3 linked regions of the Caenorhabditis elegans genome follow. The protein of the gene in region 2 interacts with the protein of the main gene of each other region in a pairwise test. Each region holds a gene or a part of one and is shown on either strand. Other genes may lie near its edges.

Region 1 (5,360 bases), on a different chromosome or scaffold from region 2:
GTTTGTCTAGTTGGCGAATAATATGTGAGCACATAATAACAGGTTAGATGAGCAGAAAAAAAGCTTGGCCTGATGTTAGAAACCCTTTTTTCAATTCTCATTGGAATAGGGAGCAATTGGGTTCGAACAAAAAAAAAGTTTTCGTGGGAATTTCTGCGTTGAAATGGAGTTTGATTCCAAGGTTTTTATCGTCAAATTATTCTTTGTTCCACCAATCGGCAAATGTTTTATGTGTTTTATCATTAACCTTTTTTGCATATTTGAGTTATTTTTTGTTGGCAAACTAACTACTACAAATTTTTAGTCTATAGACACCCAACGTCTGGGGAGTTTTTTGAGATCATCTATGTAGTAGCCTAGGTTGAAAATGTAAATAAACCAACGCAAACACCCAACGAACAAGTTTTACAAAGTAAAACACTTTTGTTGTAATATATTGTTGTAAGATATTGTTTGTTTGTTGTAAGACAAAGCATTTTTTTTTTCTAATTTCAAATAATGATATTCAAAAAATATTACTGGCATAAAGTCGTTTTTACGCTTTCAGATAAACTATTGAATACGTAATAGAAAATACCCCAAAGTTTCTGGGAAGCCGTTCTCTCCAGTAGGCTATTAGAACTTGTATAACTCGTAATATATACTTTTAATTAATACAAAGGTTTCAGTTTCTTGAAAATATCTAAAACTTGCTAGTTCAGTAAATAATATACTTCAACATACCATTTGTTTCATTGTGAGTAGACATTATTTCTAATACATATATCCAAATAAAGTATAAATATAAAGGGAAAGAAACTGGGAATTCACATAAAATTTTTGTTTGGAAGAATTTACATAAATCACACGAAAGAGTAACAAGAAAAAACGAAGTTTAGTCTAATTCAATCTACGACATATTTCGTCTACAACCTTCAACGTTTTATTAGCTCACGATCAGAAAGCAAATTGATTTTCGTGAAAGAAAAAATTACAGAAAAATGTTTTTGCACTAAAGATATTCTAGTTCATTGCCGGAAGTTTATCCAAATTCTCATAAAGCTCTTTTCGATGAGGCATAAAGTGTCGTCGAAGCATATGCCCAACTATATGAGCAATTGATGAGAGGGCCAGTACAACCCCGCAGAAAACAGTGGAACGATGTTGAAGGGACTCGGAAAGTGTCCGTTTGCGAGATCGTTCGCAGATGTAAACTGAAAAATATTTATTTTTGTTAACTTGTGAAAGGTAATATGATAATTGACTTTTACCAGAAGTTTTTTTTTAATTTCAGATAAAGCAGCTGAAATTTTACAATTTTCAGTATTTTTTCCAGTAATTTTTTTCAAACTTAAATAAATTTCGAAATTTTTAAAACTCTCTCATGGCATAATTTGTCATTTTAGTACTCCGTCAGCCATTTTTTTAACACATGATTCCAAAAAAAAGAAATGTTTGCAAATAGACATCATAATGTTTGCCTACTCCTAGACTTTTAGATGCCCTTAAAATCATTAAAACATGCCTGCATAAATCCACTTCCAGAGTAATGGAAGTATTCAAATAAATTCACTGGCAAAATATTAGATCGACTTTTTCTAGTTCAGTTTTAAATCCACTGAAAAATGAACTCCATCCCTCTTTCCTTCCCCGAGCCTCTCGAAACATTTTTTTCTTTCTTCTTTTTCCTAATAAACCTACAATTGCTTTTTGGTCCATACGGCTGAACATCAATCTCTGGAGAGAACATCACCAATATCGGAAAACTGAAAATTCTCAGTTTTTATTAAAATCATAGCTTTAAAACTTACTCAAAGTTTACGCTGTGCAATGTCACATTAATTCTATCTTCACAAACATATTTTTGCGTCAGTGGAGCCGAGAAGATAACTGATGAGTTATCAGATTCAAATACTGCAGAACTACCTGAAAGAGACTTGCTCATGAAGTCTTATGAAAAATGCTTTTTTTTATATTAATGTACCAGCGAATTTTTCCTCGTAGATCACTTTGTTCAATTGCCATCTCAATTCATCAAGGCGCTTTGCACGCATTTCTTCCTGTAAGTAAAAACAATTTTAAATCGATGAAAGTATGATAGTTAACTAACAGTTCTAAAAACAAATTTTAGAGTTTTCATTCTTCCGTCGGTCTCTTCTATGGTAGATGATATGACAGCTTTGCTCTTTCGAGTAACAGCACAATTTCCTTTGATGAGTCCAGATGGCAAATGAAACTGAATTTTTAAGTAACATTTAGTTAGAAATTTTGTGTATATGGAACTGAAATCGACTTAATAACTTACGTCAATTGGAACACTATTGTTGTTTTGTTGATTTAGTATTTTGACTTGAAATGTCACACTGATACAGGTGTCCCCCTGTAATTAACAATTTTTATAATTGAAACATTTTTGGTATAATAAACAAACATTTTCCTTTTTCAATCCAATTGTTTGATTTTCATGAACAAAACTTGATTCTATACCGGTGCTTGTAATTGCAGTGGAAGTTGTGAGAGCATCAGTGAAACTGCTAATCAGTAGAAAGTAAAACAAATTCATTAAAATCTTGTTTTTGCGAAGAAACGAAGGATGTTGAGGAGACACTTTTGAAGATGAAGAAAAGCGACGAAGAAGAAGAAGAAGAACAAATAATTCCGTGTGGAGCACGGATTGGAGGACCAGGACCCCCAAAATGAGCACACACTTTTAAGCTCTTTTGATGTATTCCATTCTACGACCCATCTTTCTTTCTTTCTATTTTTCATCGTTTTTGTCATTTGCCGCATGTACAACTATCACATTTAGTTGGAATGATTTTAAGTTTGGGGAATATTTTAGATTTTAACTAAATGGAGTTTCAGAACCAAATAGAGAAAATGAATTTCGAATGTATATATATTTTTGGTTTTTATCAAGTAAATTTGTCCACTTTGTGGAATAATACAGAATAATATTCGTGAAACTGCAATTTTCAACTGAAAAATAGAATATGCTCCTTAAATTTCTAAAAGTATCTGTACTCTAGGGGTACTGTAGGAGTATTGTAGAATTACTGTAGACCAAGAAATGAGTTTTTAAATATTGAGTTGGGTTTTGGAAAATCTTGGAAAAATTTGGAAACTTCTGAAAAATTCTGAAAATCCGAGAGACTTCTAGCAACTTCATTCTGGATACTTTGAGAAATTTTTAAAAATTTTTTCGAATGTTTTGAAACTTTTGGAAATTTTGGGAAACTCTTGAAAAAAAATTTAAAACGTATGGTTAAATCTGTAATTTCATGTAAATTTTCAAAAACTCGAAAGGCTTTAGAAATATTCTTTGAAATTCAGGAAATTCAGTTTAGAAAATTCTGGAAAATTCTGAAAAACTCTGTGATAATTCTGGAACCTTCTATAAAGTTTTGGAAACTTTTAGAAACTTTTGAAAACAATTTAGAACTTATGGAAAAATCTGGAATTTTTTGACAGTAAATTGTTTAAAATTTGATAGACTTCAGAAATATCCTCAAAAATTCAGGAGAGCTACTAAAGTGTTCTAGAGACTTTTATTATAGAATACTTTAGAAACACAGATTTTTAGAACTTTCTAAATACGTGTTAGTGTATGAAAATCTTACAGAGGTTCTAGAAGTTTTCAGAAAGTTCTAGCAATTTTTTGTTGATTTTCCGAAAACTGAAAACATCTGGAAACTTTCCAAAACATCCAAAAACTTTCAAAGCAAACAAGAATTGACACTATGCAATAAATCATTTATTAAGAAACAACAAATGTTACCGATTTGGTTTTTTTTACTTTGTCAAAAGACTGATCAAAAAACTTTTGCAAATCATTAAAATATTGCGGTTCATAATGATCTACTTTTATAGAGAATTGTCTGTGTGGCTTCTTGTCTTCCTTGACCATTAGGAAAATAAGTATCAAATAGTAGAGAGGAAGGCAGTGAACGACTGAAAAATTAGAAATAAAAGTAGTTGGAAATTTTTCTGAATTGTTTTAAAACCAACTTTCTATAATTGCAAATTGCCCCGCTGATGACATTGATTTCAAAAAAAAATGAACTCCGAACGTCGCTGCTGCATTGTAAGTAACATAAATCCATGTCACTGTGCTAACTATTCGGAATTTTGTCAATGTTTGCAGGTTTTGTGATAGTTGATATCTTTGAGATAATGTCGATCGTTTTTGCAAGGAAGCTTCGCGAAATTTCTGGAAAAAAGTCTGGGAAAACATTTTAATTGAACTTTATATTATTTAAAACTAACCTCATTCTTTCTGAGAAGATATAATAACGCGGGAATAGTTATCAATTGACTGAAAACAATTACGAAAATAGGTAGGTTTAGCATATATCGATTTCCGGTAGATGACATCTATAAAATTTTTTGATAGAAATTTAGAATGTGTTATTGAATTACTTACCCAACAATAATAGATTATATCGCCGCCGACCTTTTCAGATGACTGAATTGTAAAAAGAAATAGAGCAAGGGAAATCTGAAAATCAAAAAAGTTGACGGGCGTAGAGTAGCGTCACTTCTCGTATTGTGCTAAAATTTCCAAATATCATTGTAAAATTTTTGAAAAAGAAACATTTCTTTTGAATTTTTTAAAATCAAAAATGCCCACAGTTTTTGAAAAATTTGACAATTTTTTTTTGCATTTATTTTAATTTATTTTAAATTTTTTCAATTTAAACTCTAATCTTGCAGAAGTTTTCCAATTGTGGATGAGGCTTCGCAATTTTTTTTTTGCTTAATTTTATCGGTTGTTCTTTTCTAATTTCAAGGTTTCAATAAAATCACATAAGAAAATGCGAGTAAAACCATTAATTTAAAAACATTTTGAAATAGACAATTCATTTTTGTAGTCGGCCTACTACCAAGTACTGATTAAAAAATCCGAAACTCACATGAAAAATGTTCAATAAAACTCCACACCATTTATATCTATTCTCGTAGTGTCTCGCTCTAAACGTTGCCACAAATCGTTCTGCCGTCAACACAAACGGAGTGACCTCTACCACAAACGCAGAAATCTTGTACAATTTCCGGAGTTCACATCTGCTTCTAGACGGAAATATTTCGCATCCGCTCATCCACGGTCCAACGTAATTCAGAAGATCTTTTCCGTGTAAAATAATTCGAACAATCATGTGGATAAACGCAAAAATGGTGAGAGTATGAAAGATACACTTGCTGTTGAAATGAAGTTTTGTGGCTTTTTGAATTGCCAAAAATGAGTAAATGGTGCATGGAACGCATAGAATGCAGAGGAGGGTGGTCATACCCAGGGAGGTTCTGAATTGGTTCGAGTTTTGAAGTATTTCAATATCGAATTCAGGCTAGAACTTTGATGCATCTATAATTACTCTATAAGC
Region 2 (5,360 bases):
AGTTTCAAAAGAATGTGTTCTTCTAGTTAAACATTGCATTTTTTTTTGTCCGCCGAGAATTGACACGCAATATATAGTGCTGGAATATGGGTGGGGTCTGATGTAAAGTTTTGAACATTATTTATTACTTTTAATAAAGGTATCTGGAAAATACTGGTGATAAAAATAGTGTTGAAATATGGAAACAGATGGGAAAAGTCTATGAACGGATCAAATAATTAGTGTTGTTATTAATTGAAGAGTCAGAAAAAATTCAATAAATATTGTTTAAAAAAATTGTTTCGCTTTTTGTAGTATCACAGGGCGGAAATATGTACGGTTAAAGTAACTATTTTGGCGTCGTGACTCTCAATCACAGAACATAACTGTAAAAAAACGTATAAAAAATAGGGATTAACATTCCGGACGCTACGTGGAAAATTTCATATTTGTGAAACAAGCAACATTTTTTTCCAAAATTGGTCAAATATTGCAGACACCGTACAGGTTGTAGTGTCAGAATATAGGTGGAGTCTGATAAAGTTTCGAGTATTATTTATTAATATCAATTATGTCAAAGTATTATTCAGAAAATGCAAAAAAAAATCAATTTAAATCAGTAATTTTTCTTTCCGTTTTCTCCGAAGACTCTATCGTTGATCCGCTCTCACTGATTTGAATTTTTATTGGCTCAGATTCGATGGCAGGGTGGATTTTTGTGTTTTCTGAAATATTAAGGTTGTAGGCAGGCTGTAGGTAGGTAGGCAGATAGGTAGGCAAGCCGCTAGGTTGTCAAAAAATAAAACAAACCTTGAAAGAAATGCCGTGTCTTGTGGAAATATAGCTTTTGAGCCATGACTGCTGCGATGGCTGATAGAATGGCAAAAGCTCCATAAAGTAGAAGATGACCGGCCAAGGTAAAGTATTTTGATACGAAGAAAGCTATTGTGGAGGATATGGCCTGAAATTTAGTATATATGAGCCTAGACAGACCCTTCAAGTTGAAACTTACACTGTAGAACTTGAATAGAGCAAATGCGTGAGACGATTCTTCAGAGTACCCGTCACAGAGGAACGAGTAGACTTGAGTCTGAATAATTGCATCGCCGAAACCAAGAAGCCCAGAGCAGAATATTGCAATGTAGGCACTGAAAAATCCATAATTGTTCAACTTAAAAATTCCCAAAAAATACAAACTTTGGCTCAAAAATCCCAACATTCTGTGTAGGACGTAGTGGTGCATCATATGGGAAGAACAGATAAATCAATACAAAACATATCAAATGAAGTACACAAGCAATCACTACAATCATATCTTTTCCGAGTATTCTGACACGTTTTCCGAGTACTGAAAATATTCCACCAGCTACAATTTGCCCAATCCCGGTTGCAATTCCACTAATTGCTAGAAGTTTTGTGGTGTTTTCTCCGAGTTTGGAGGTGAATTTGATGCAGGTCGGGTAGATTGCTGTAAGGTTTGAGATGAAGTAGGTCGGGTAGATTGCTGTAAGGTTTGAGATGAAGCCTATGTGCCTGCCTACCAATCCAAAACGACCTGGAGAACCCGGTGTACAAGAAAATAAACGCTAGCAGGAGCATCGGAGTTTGACGGATTAACCGGAATGTTACTTCTGCAAATCACTAACGTAAAAGTAACGTAAAACTCAAAAAGTTTGGACCAACTCAATGTTCCGGCTAATGTAACTGCTTCCCTCTTCTCTGGTACATACGCCGGCGCTGGAAGGAATGCAGTATTGACTGCAGCAACTACCGAGATGGAACAGAACACGTAGACAAAGATTTTGAACTTAAAATTTGAATATTCAGTATAGATTTTTAACTGAAAAATTTACATCTCCACTTAGCACCAGCTCGTGCATAGTTTGATCCTGGAACATGAAGTAAAGGAAGACCCCGCCGCCTAGGAGGCTGAAATTATATAATTTGTTAGATGTTAGGCTAAGTAAAACATACCTGAATTTGAAAATGAGCCACATTAGAGCAGTGTTGCGTTCGATAGTCTCACTTGTGCAATTTTCCGTGAGGTACTTTCCTTGACCAACCCAAAGGACTGAAATTTCTTTGTCAGCCTATATCTCAATTCTCCTTTTTTATATCAAAAAGTTCTCAACTGAGAAAATATTCAAAATTTCTTTTTCTATAGTTCCATAGTTGAAAATGTTTTGATATCTCCAAAATGAACCGAGATATTTACTACCAAAGTAAAGTACTTCAGCCAAAACTTCAAAAAACTCACAAGCTGCTCCAATTCCCAAAAGAGCCGATGTGGTGTACAGGTATGCACTGTTCAATTCAAGAAATCCCAACTGAAATGCAATGTACGTGAAGAATCCAACAACCATCGACCATTTCGCAGTTATCAAGTCAACCACTGGAGCAATCAGTAGGCAGGCAATGGTGAAGAAGAAGTAGAGAATCGCGAAACTGAAAATAAGCAATTTGAAATCATGTTGACCCTATTCATAGAGCTTGTTGATATTTCTACAAATTGTGACCCGTTATGATCTCTGGTGTTAGTATTGTTTTGATAATCAGATTAAAACCGTAGACTTCCCAATTACTATAAAAACGAGATGACCGATAGATTATGCAAATGTTCAAATTTCTAGAGTTGAAAATATGTTTGCATTGAACTTTTTGGTATTAAAATATTTTAAGTAGGCAGGCGAGTAGGTAGGCAGGCAAGTGATAGGCAAACCTGCCAAAATGCCTGCCTACGTACACACGAACCTATTATGTTTGAACTTTGAACTAAAATTGAAAAGAAAAACCAAAAGAACAATTTTTCTGCAACTGCTTTTTTACCAAAAAAAAAGTGAGTGAGTTTTGGAGATTATCCCCTGAGATTTTCGCAGTTTCACAAAAATTGTTTATGAACATTGCTTCTTTGATTTTGCAACGTTTGAAGCAAACATACAGTACAAAACTCGTACGCTGACTCCCGCTGACGCCCGCTGACGCCTGCTGACGCCTGCTCACAACTTACCTATGATATCCGGCATGAGGATCAATATTTCCTCCTCTTCGGTGCTCTTCTTCTATTAACGGCTCCTGTATAAACTCTTGACTCATATATGCAAAAAACAAAAGCATAAAAGAAACTGATAGTCGTATCACATTTTTTGTTCCCGTATCCAGAAGCACCATCTGGAAATTTCAAGTTTTTTTTGCTATTAATTTTCGGAAATATTTAACATTTATCAAAATGATAAATAAAACATTTCCAAACTCAAAAACAATTGTGAAAGGCGATCACAAAAATGATGGGAAAAGAGAGAAAATTGAACAACGAGGAACAAAACGAATAATGTGGGTGGCAAAGGAGAAACGGAAAATTGAAAAAAAAAAGGCGGGGTTTGTGATTTTTTTGGGATTATTAAGGATTTTCTAAAGGAAAAAATGAACATGAACTCGTAAATTATAATTGGCATTTGGGTTAGGGTTTGGAACTTTGACTTCTGTAATTTTCAGATTAAAAACTACATATTTGAATCGGTAAAAGTCTAAACTTTTTTTAAGAATTTGAGACCAAATTTAAGAAAAAAAAATTCTCGAAGAACGTTACACTTAAATACAGCGTGCCCCGACCTGCATCAAATCCCTACGTGCCTACCTGAGTTCTAAATTTTTCGGTTAATTTTTAACTTTAGACTGAAAAAATCATAAAATTTGCATCGACGTTTATTTTAAAAAAATGAGAAACAAATAGAAAAATAGGATTGTTGAAAATATTTTTTAAAGGTTGTTATAATGAAACATATATTAAAAGAAATCAATTTCTGACCCAAATATTCAACAAAAAAAAACAATCTTTAAAATGATGATATGATAAGGTGACAGTGAAAGTGATACACAATGTACAAACATATATGTACACACAGAAAAAGAAACGGGATAACAATAATAATAGAAAGTGAACATTATATGAATTTCGAATAACTATCCCCAATTTCATTCAATATTTTCCGCCTGAAACGAGACACAGAAGACCAGGGGGGCGGCCAAATGCCAAAACAATGATCATAAAACCATCAGAACGGACGGTTTAATGTGCGAAATAATATTGAGAATGAGACTTCCGATGGTCTTCTTTCTTTTTGTTCTTGCAATTCATTTTATTTTTGAAGAAATTTTGATCAAAGTTTGATATAATTTTCGGTCGAAAATCACATAACTGTGATATAAAAATTGTTTTCCATAAAATTATCTAGAAACACATTTTTTTGGAATTAAAATTCTAGTCGGAAAAATTTCAATTTGTTTGAAATATTTCAATAATCGGAAATTCTTATTTATTGTCTAGAGGTTTTTACAGCTTACAACTTGGTAAAAAAGTACCTGCCTGCCTACAACGCAGACCTCGCCTGACTAGAGTATACCTAGACTACAACTCAAAATCAATAATACCTAAAAATTTTGAAACTCTATTCAAACGGTTTTAACCAATTCTATCTATATAGTTTTTCTGCTTTTACGTCAAATTTTTGATGTATTTCATTTGTTCCAAAAAAAAATGCCCGCGGTTCTCAAAACTAATTAATTTTACAAGTTTTCCATTCAAAATTGATCAGGAAATGGAAAACTACTTGTCGATTTCGGTCTCACTGCTGCTGAACAAATACTAATGAATTGATTCAAAGGGAGCTAGAACAATATTTTCATTAAAATTTTAAACATTCCACTTTCACAAAAACTCCTGTTCTATGTAACAATATGTTTACCCGGAAGTTGTTGGCTACCTTCAAAAACTTCAAAAATGAGCATAAGCCGGGACTTTATTGTCTGTAAACGTTTTTAGGAATAATATTTTTGCGGTTTTTGATCATCAGGATCCTGAACTCTGTAAACCTTTCCTATAGTGCTAAAATGGTCAAAAATCATAGTAAAATTTTCCAAAAAAAATTTGAAATTTTTTTAAAATTTTGTTTCAAAAATGACCTGTCAATAAAAAATTTTTAAAACTTTAAACAAAAAAATTTTGTTACGACAGGTGGATGTTTAGCACCATAGGAATGGTTTTTAATCATTTCCTCACCGGCCGTACTGCACTCGTTTGCACTTATAATATCCAAAAGTATCTGAACACACATCTATAAAACCCCATACAAACTGCTGATATTTGTCATAGAAAACCGGTACCTGAACATAAAAGGAAATAGTATACGGGAATTTTAAAGTTCAACTCTTTTATAAACACAATAAAAAATGCCTCCTCTTGTGTTCCTGCAATACTTCAAAGGTGTAGACTCAACTCAAAGAAAGTTTGGAATTTCTTAAATTTCTGAATTCCAGTCACAAGAAACGAGAACTTCTAACCGTTTATCAACTTTTATTAAACTGAAAATTATCAACAAAAAAGA
Region 3 (5,360 bases), 4.1 Mb from region 2:
GTTTTAGCCCAGCCATTTTTTTAAAGCGAACTTTACATTAGACTTTTTGGCCATTACGTAACCAGCGGTCACATCAAGAAAAAAGATGACAGTCCACGCACGATTCATCACACGGAAGATTTCTTATCACTAGTGCAAACAAAAGAGCATCACCCTCACAGAGAGACTGTTAACACCTAATCAAATGAAAACGGGGATGATTGACAGAAAAATCGCATACCGTCACGACTGTGAGATCTTGGTTCGGACGTCGTCGGCGCTTCCGGTGTGGTTTCGGTCGTTGTGGCTTCTGTCGTCTTGTCGGATCCCCATCCGAATAGTCTGGAAGCAGAGCTGAGAATTATTAGGGGTAGTTCCCCAGTCGTATGACAATTGGGGAATTATTTTTAGTTTAGAAACGAGCCGGTTTATCAGACACGTAAAACAGGGGAAAAAATGTTACCTCAGAATGCTTCCAGCCAAGTCATTTTGTCCATTGAGACTCTCTCGGTTGTTCAAAATCCATTGTCTCAATTGTTCAGTTGTAGCTCCATGCGTGCCGCTGATCAGTAACACAGTAGCAATAAAGAATAACTTCATATTTTGTTAGATTAAATGTGTGCACACAAATATTAAATAAGATTTTTGTGTGGGTGGTTGTGTGTAAATTATATGAGCAGAATATGTATATAGTTAACACGAGAGAGACTGTTGAAGAATGCACACTTCGTTTCGACGATTTTATGTGAGAGTTTTGGAGTTCTTGTGCTCAATAGGATGATGGGGTGGGGTCAAAAGCGAAATTGTGCGTCGAGCTCCTTACCGCGCGGAAAAAGAAGCGCCCTGTGCAAAAGGGGCGGAGATTACAGTGTATGTGTGTGTGTGTGTGTGTGTGCACAAGCTTGTCGCTCTTCCTTCTGATCCTATGGCGTTCGTTTCTCACACTTTTGTATTATTCTTTCTCGCAGATTGAAAGGAGGATCCTAAAAAAGAACACACGGATATGGTAGAAAATATCAAGAAAATTGTGTGTGTGTGTGTGTCAGTGTGCTCAGTGAAAAGGGAGAAACGATTTCATTCCGGCAATTCGACAAATTGCCGGAATTTAAAATTTCCGACAAAGCGGCAAATGGGCACATTGCTGGAATTGGAAACTTCCGGCAAATCAGCAATCTGGCAAATTGCCAAATCCGCCGGAAAAACGGCCATTGCCAAAAATTTTCGACAATTGTGGTTTTGAATTTTGCGCAACCTCTCACGCCACCAACAATACCGTATATTTCGTATTGTTCCACTTTAGCTTCTCCGTTGTTTTTAATGAAAAGTTCATAACATGAATAATGTTCTTTTTTCTATAAGTTTCAATCAATTTTATTGATATATTCAAAATGAACCTTGGTTTAACTTTTCAAAGTAGAACAGTGGAGTTTAGCAGAAATAAAAAATATACGGTAATTAACCGTTGTTGTTATCATGTTGTGCTACAGTTATTACAATTATTCTGTATTCTTTTGTGACCGAGTAAAATTTCAGTTTACCAGCCGCGCATATAAATAATTTTCAGTATGCCTATAGTAGTCCAAAAGTACCACGGTATTGTACTGATAATAATTAAAAATTGCATTACATACTAATTTAATTAAATTGCCTCTCATTTGAGGGAATAAATTCGGAACAAGTTCTAAAATCTGTCACGAAAATACTTGAAAGTTTTTTGCCTTCTTTGCACTAACCGGCTAGATGTACTCAGATCTATCGGACGGGTGAGAAGGGTCATCTCATTGCTTTTCTTCATTCCACCCGTTCTCTCTTCCTCTCATCATCACACGAGTGGCGGTGCAGCAGCAACAGGAGCAGTACCTATCTGTATTTATTTATTTACAAAACAACTTTCCCCTCGCGGCGGTTCTTTCTCTCGGCGAGAACCTCCCAATTTTCGTCGGGTATCCTTTTGTTACGTTCGTTCGTGAAGAGAACCTTCGCGCCGCCAACCGTTTTTTTATTACAGAAGTTGTTGGATCATCATTCAAGAGCCGTGGTGCACGATGCGGCGACGCCGTAGCTGAAAAAATGATGAAAAAGTGGATTGAGAGTTCAGTTTTTAGATTCTTTGTAGAAAAATGGTCACAAGCTACATTTTGATGATTTATTGCAATGTTACTTACGTCTACAGTGGAAGAATTATTGTTTATTATATTTTTACTTGAGAAGTTAGAGTTGAGGGCTTCATGAAAAAAAAGAAGCTTGAAAACTAAAATTTACATCTTAAAACTCAATGATCTAATCGTCAATTAGGTATTGCAAACCACACACACATAAAAATTTCTCAAGTTCGTGCGAACTGAAATTATTTTTCGAAATAATAGGCTCATTAGATGTTGTACAGTACTCATTCATCATACAAAGAAAAATATTCGACCTTTGCTCGAAGTGTGTTGCAATTCTACGCATATTCAACCCACGCAATGAATGGCGCCTCTTTTTCAAACAGATTCCATTCTTGTTTTCTTTTTTCTGTTTTGCAATCGTTCCTATTTGTACATCGCGTTTCTATTGGCGAGCGGGTATGTGCATCGGAATCGACGATGAAATCTGCAGTGGGAAGTATTTACACTTCATGCAAGAAGTACCAAAGTCGGAGCAAATACCAAACGGGTGTTCGTTGGAATATCGTTGAAACATTTTGAACTCGTGTTACTGGAAAAACATTAAAACACTGTTGGACCACTGCCAACATTAAAAATGGGCAAACTTCGTATTAATCAAACATCGAATAATCCACAAATTGCGGTGAATGGACCTAGATCTTTAATAGCTCTGTTTGATTAATAAAGAATACTTGATAAAGAACTATATGATGCAATTTTTCATGTTTGGTTATTATATCTAATGTTTGATTAAAACAGCCTAGGTAATATTTGTGAAAGTAAAGGACTTGTTCTTATTTGGAAGGTTCACATTTCCACAATGATTTGATTTGAAAATCATTATGTAGAAAATCGCATGGGAAACAAACATTCGTCATGTTTAAAATACCAACTAACATCTTTCACATTTTCATACATGTAAGCTAATGGAACAGCAGCAGCATTTGACAAAACGGAAGATTGCGCCATATTGCTTTAGTATTTAACCTTAACAAGTTAGCGCCAAAATGTAAAACATTTTTGTTGAAAGCTTTGAATATGTGCTCAAAAATTCTGTGAAAGTTAACCGTTGCCTAAAATTTTTTTCTCGATAATTGTTTTGAGAAAAATTCGCTTTGACAAAAATGTGATGCCTCCAAACGTATGGAAAACTGAAGCTTCAAACAATAACTTGGGAATCAATATAAAAATGGGGTGAGTGCAAATTGCACTTTCAACTAAAAAAATCGAATCAGGCGATTCGGTCCCATTTCAAAAACGACACCGAAGTTGTTTATTTAGTGTTATATAAATTAACATCATTCCCTCGGCGGCTTATCATCGGAAAGATTGCTCTGTTAATTATGATTTCTGATGATTGCGCATTTTTAAATATCTCTTTGTTCTTTTTCAATTCACGCTCTTTTTGCTTGCCCCTAGGTGTTGTTAACTGATTTTCCTTTTTAATCTGCACTGCTGATGTTTTGCAAACATCACATAGAGCACAAGACACGGTTTTCGCTAAATTCCTTTTGATAGTGAATGGGGTTATTCTATACTTTCGTGGGTAGATAAATTTAGTTCAGATCAGGGGTGTGCGAACATGCCGAGTTCGGCAAATTTTCCGAATTTGTCAAAACGGCAAATTTCAAAAAAAGTAGATTTGACAAATTTTCCGATCTATTGGGTTATTTTGATGTTTAAGCAGACACACTACACGGGACTTATTCAGAAAGCATATGTGTGTTAAGAATTCAGTAGTTTCAGTACTCCAAAAAAATGAAAAATTTCATATTTTTCGGAGTTTGTTAAGCTCGGCAAATTTTGAGAGTCAGTATTTTTGAGGAGTTTTTAATTTTTCATAACTCTGTAGTCTGGAACCGAGTAACACTATTTTTACGAAAATATACTTTTCGAAAGCTTTTGTTCACATAATGTTTTTGGAAACTTTCTGGAAAAACTGACACATTTTTTATCTTAAATGGAGGAATCATTGTATCATTAAACATTGACAAATTTTCAGAAAATTGTTGTAACAAGAGTTTTTGCCTTGAATTTTCAGATTAATTTCCAAAGTGCTCATCTGTCGCTCAAAACTTTGTAGGAGCACATTTAGAAGGTTTTCTTTTAATTGGCATTAATTTCTGATACTTCCCTTGCTATTGACTCATACTGTTTTGAGATTCATTTTTACCGTGAACGAATCAACCAGCAATATCTCTAAACTTCTGAAGGGTCAGATTTGATAGTCAGTTTTAGATAGACACCAAGAATTATATTGTTATATTCTAGTAAGAACGATGTTGTTTCACTCTGTGTATAGTATTATGTCAAGCTTTGGCTGGCACTTGTAGCTTTTCATGACAATTTTATAGGTGTAAGATAATAAGAAGTAACTCAAATATAAAGTACTAATCAAGAAGCAAACTTCAACACACTCCAATGTGTTCGGTTTCCGTTCGCCTCGTCCGCACCAACGGATTACCGGAGCATCGTTGTCGTGCGAATGCTCAGGGCTTAGAAGATGTGTGTCTAGGTAAACATGCGGTCATCTCATTGTGCCACTTTTGTGCGGGGGAATCCTACTGTGGTGTTGTTTTTGTGCATAGGAAGAGGGATAGATTTTCAATCAAATTCAAAACACAAAAATCGAAAATTGAATGTATTCTTTCATCGTTTTCTCTTCTTTGGTCTGCGGGCAATTCAAATTGGTCATGTATGTACTTGAATATTTTTTGTTTGTATGTGTATGTGTGTGTGTGTGTGGGATGTGTGCTCCCTATGAGCCACATTGAAAGTTATAACAGAAATAGAAACGGGTGTTTGGAATATGTGAACTTTTTGACTGTCTCATACTTGCCGGAAAACGGGTATTATGAAATTAAAGTTTGTTACTGAAACTTTTTTTTGAGAAAATTGACACATTCAATAGGCACATTCTTATGGAACGGTAGTTGCCGCCCACTCCTGGTTAAAATGCTGAAATTTTCATTTAAAGCGATGGAAACGATGTGACGCTTTAAGTCCCTCGATCGATACAAAAACGAAACATTTCTAGATAAACAAAAAAAATTACAGTCCACCTAAAAAGTTACTTCAAGAGTCAGAACTAGCGGTTGTTTTGTGGAGTCGTTTAACGCAGCTATAGCTATATCGAGATAATTTTGCCTAAATATAGTTTACATGGGCTAAAACTTGTTTTATAACACACAAAACTATACTCTGTTATGAATATCTTACTATGTCATTTAGTCG

What was found.
Region 1: the proteins of F31D5.2 (region 2) and unc-46 interact in a two-hybrid assay, tested with the Caenorhabditis elegans proteins (one large-scale study listed by BioGRID).
Region 3: the proteins of F31D5.2 (region 2) and C23H3.9 interact in a two-hybrid assay, tested with the Caenorhabditis elegans proteins (one large-scale study listed by BioGRID).

The regions. Positions count from the first base shown.
Region 1 is NC_003283.11:5,096,362-5,101,721, forward strand, and holds unc-46 (Lysosome-associated membrane glycoprotein 5), read right to left. Parts: upstream 2,665-5,360; 5' UTR 2,543-2,664; coding exon 2,411-2,542; intron 2,360-2,410; coding exon 2,285-2,359; intron 2,216-2,284; coding exon 2,090-2,215; intron 2,040-2,089; coding exon 1,964-2,039; intron 1,906-1,963; coding exon 1,791-1,905; intron 1,746-1,790; coding exon 1,681-1,745; intron 1,194-1,680; coding exon 1,003-1,193; 3' UTR 714-1,002; downstream 1-713. Other genes in the region: srab-1 (G_PROTEIN_RECEP_F1_2 domain-containing protein), read right to left, coding at 3,737-3,930, 3,988-4,189, 4,246-4,353, 4,403-4,477, 4,893-5,280.
Region 2 is NC_003280.10:4,213,405-4,218,764, reverse strand, and holds F31D5.2 (UNC93-like protein MFSD11), read right to left. Parts: upstream 3,148-5,360; coding exon 2,987-3,147; intron 2,425-2,986; coding exon 2,237-2,424; intron 2,051-2,236; coding exon 1,954-2,050; intron 1,909-1,953; coding exon 1,833-1,908; intron 1,787-1,832; coding exon 1,663-1,786; intron 1,611-1,662; coding exon 1,521-1,610; intron 1,448-1,520; coding exon 1,177-1,447; intron 1,128-1,176; coding exon 992-1,127; intron 941-991; coding exon 790-940; intron 705-789; coding exon 586-704; 3' UTR 524-585; downstream 1-523.
Region 3 is NC_003280.10:76,717-82,076, forward strand, and holds the start of C23H3.9 (Metallo-beta-lactamase domain-containing protein), read right to left. Parts: upstream 2,551-5,360; 5' UTR 1,713-2,550; intron 963-1,712; 5' UTR 580-962; coding exon 443-579; intron 322-442; coding exon 221-321; intron 1-220.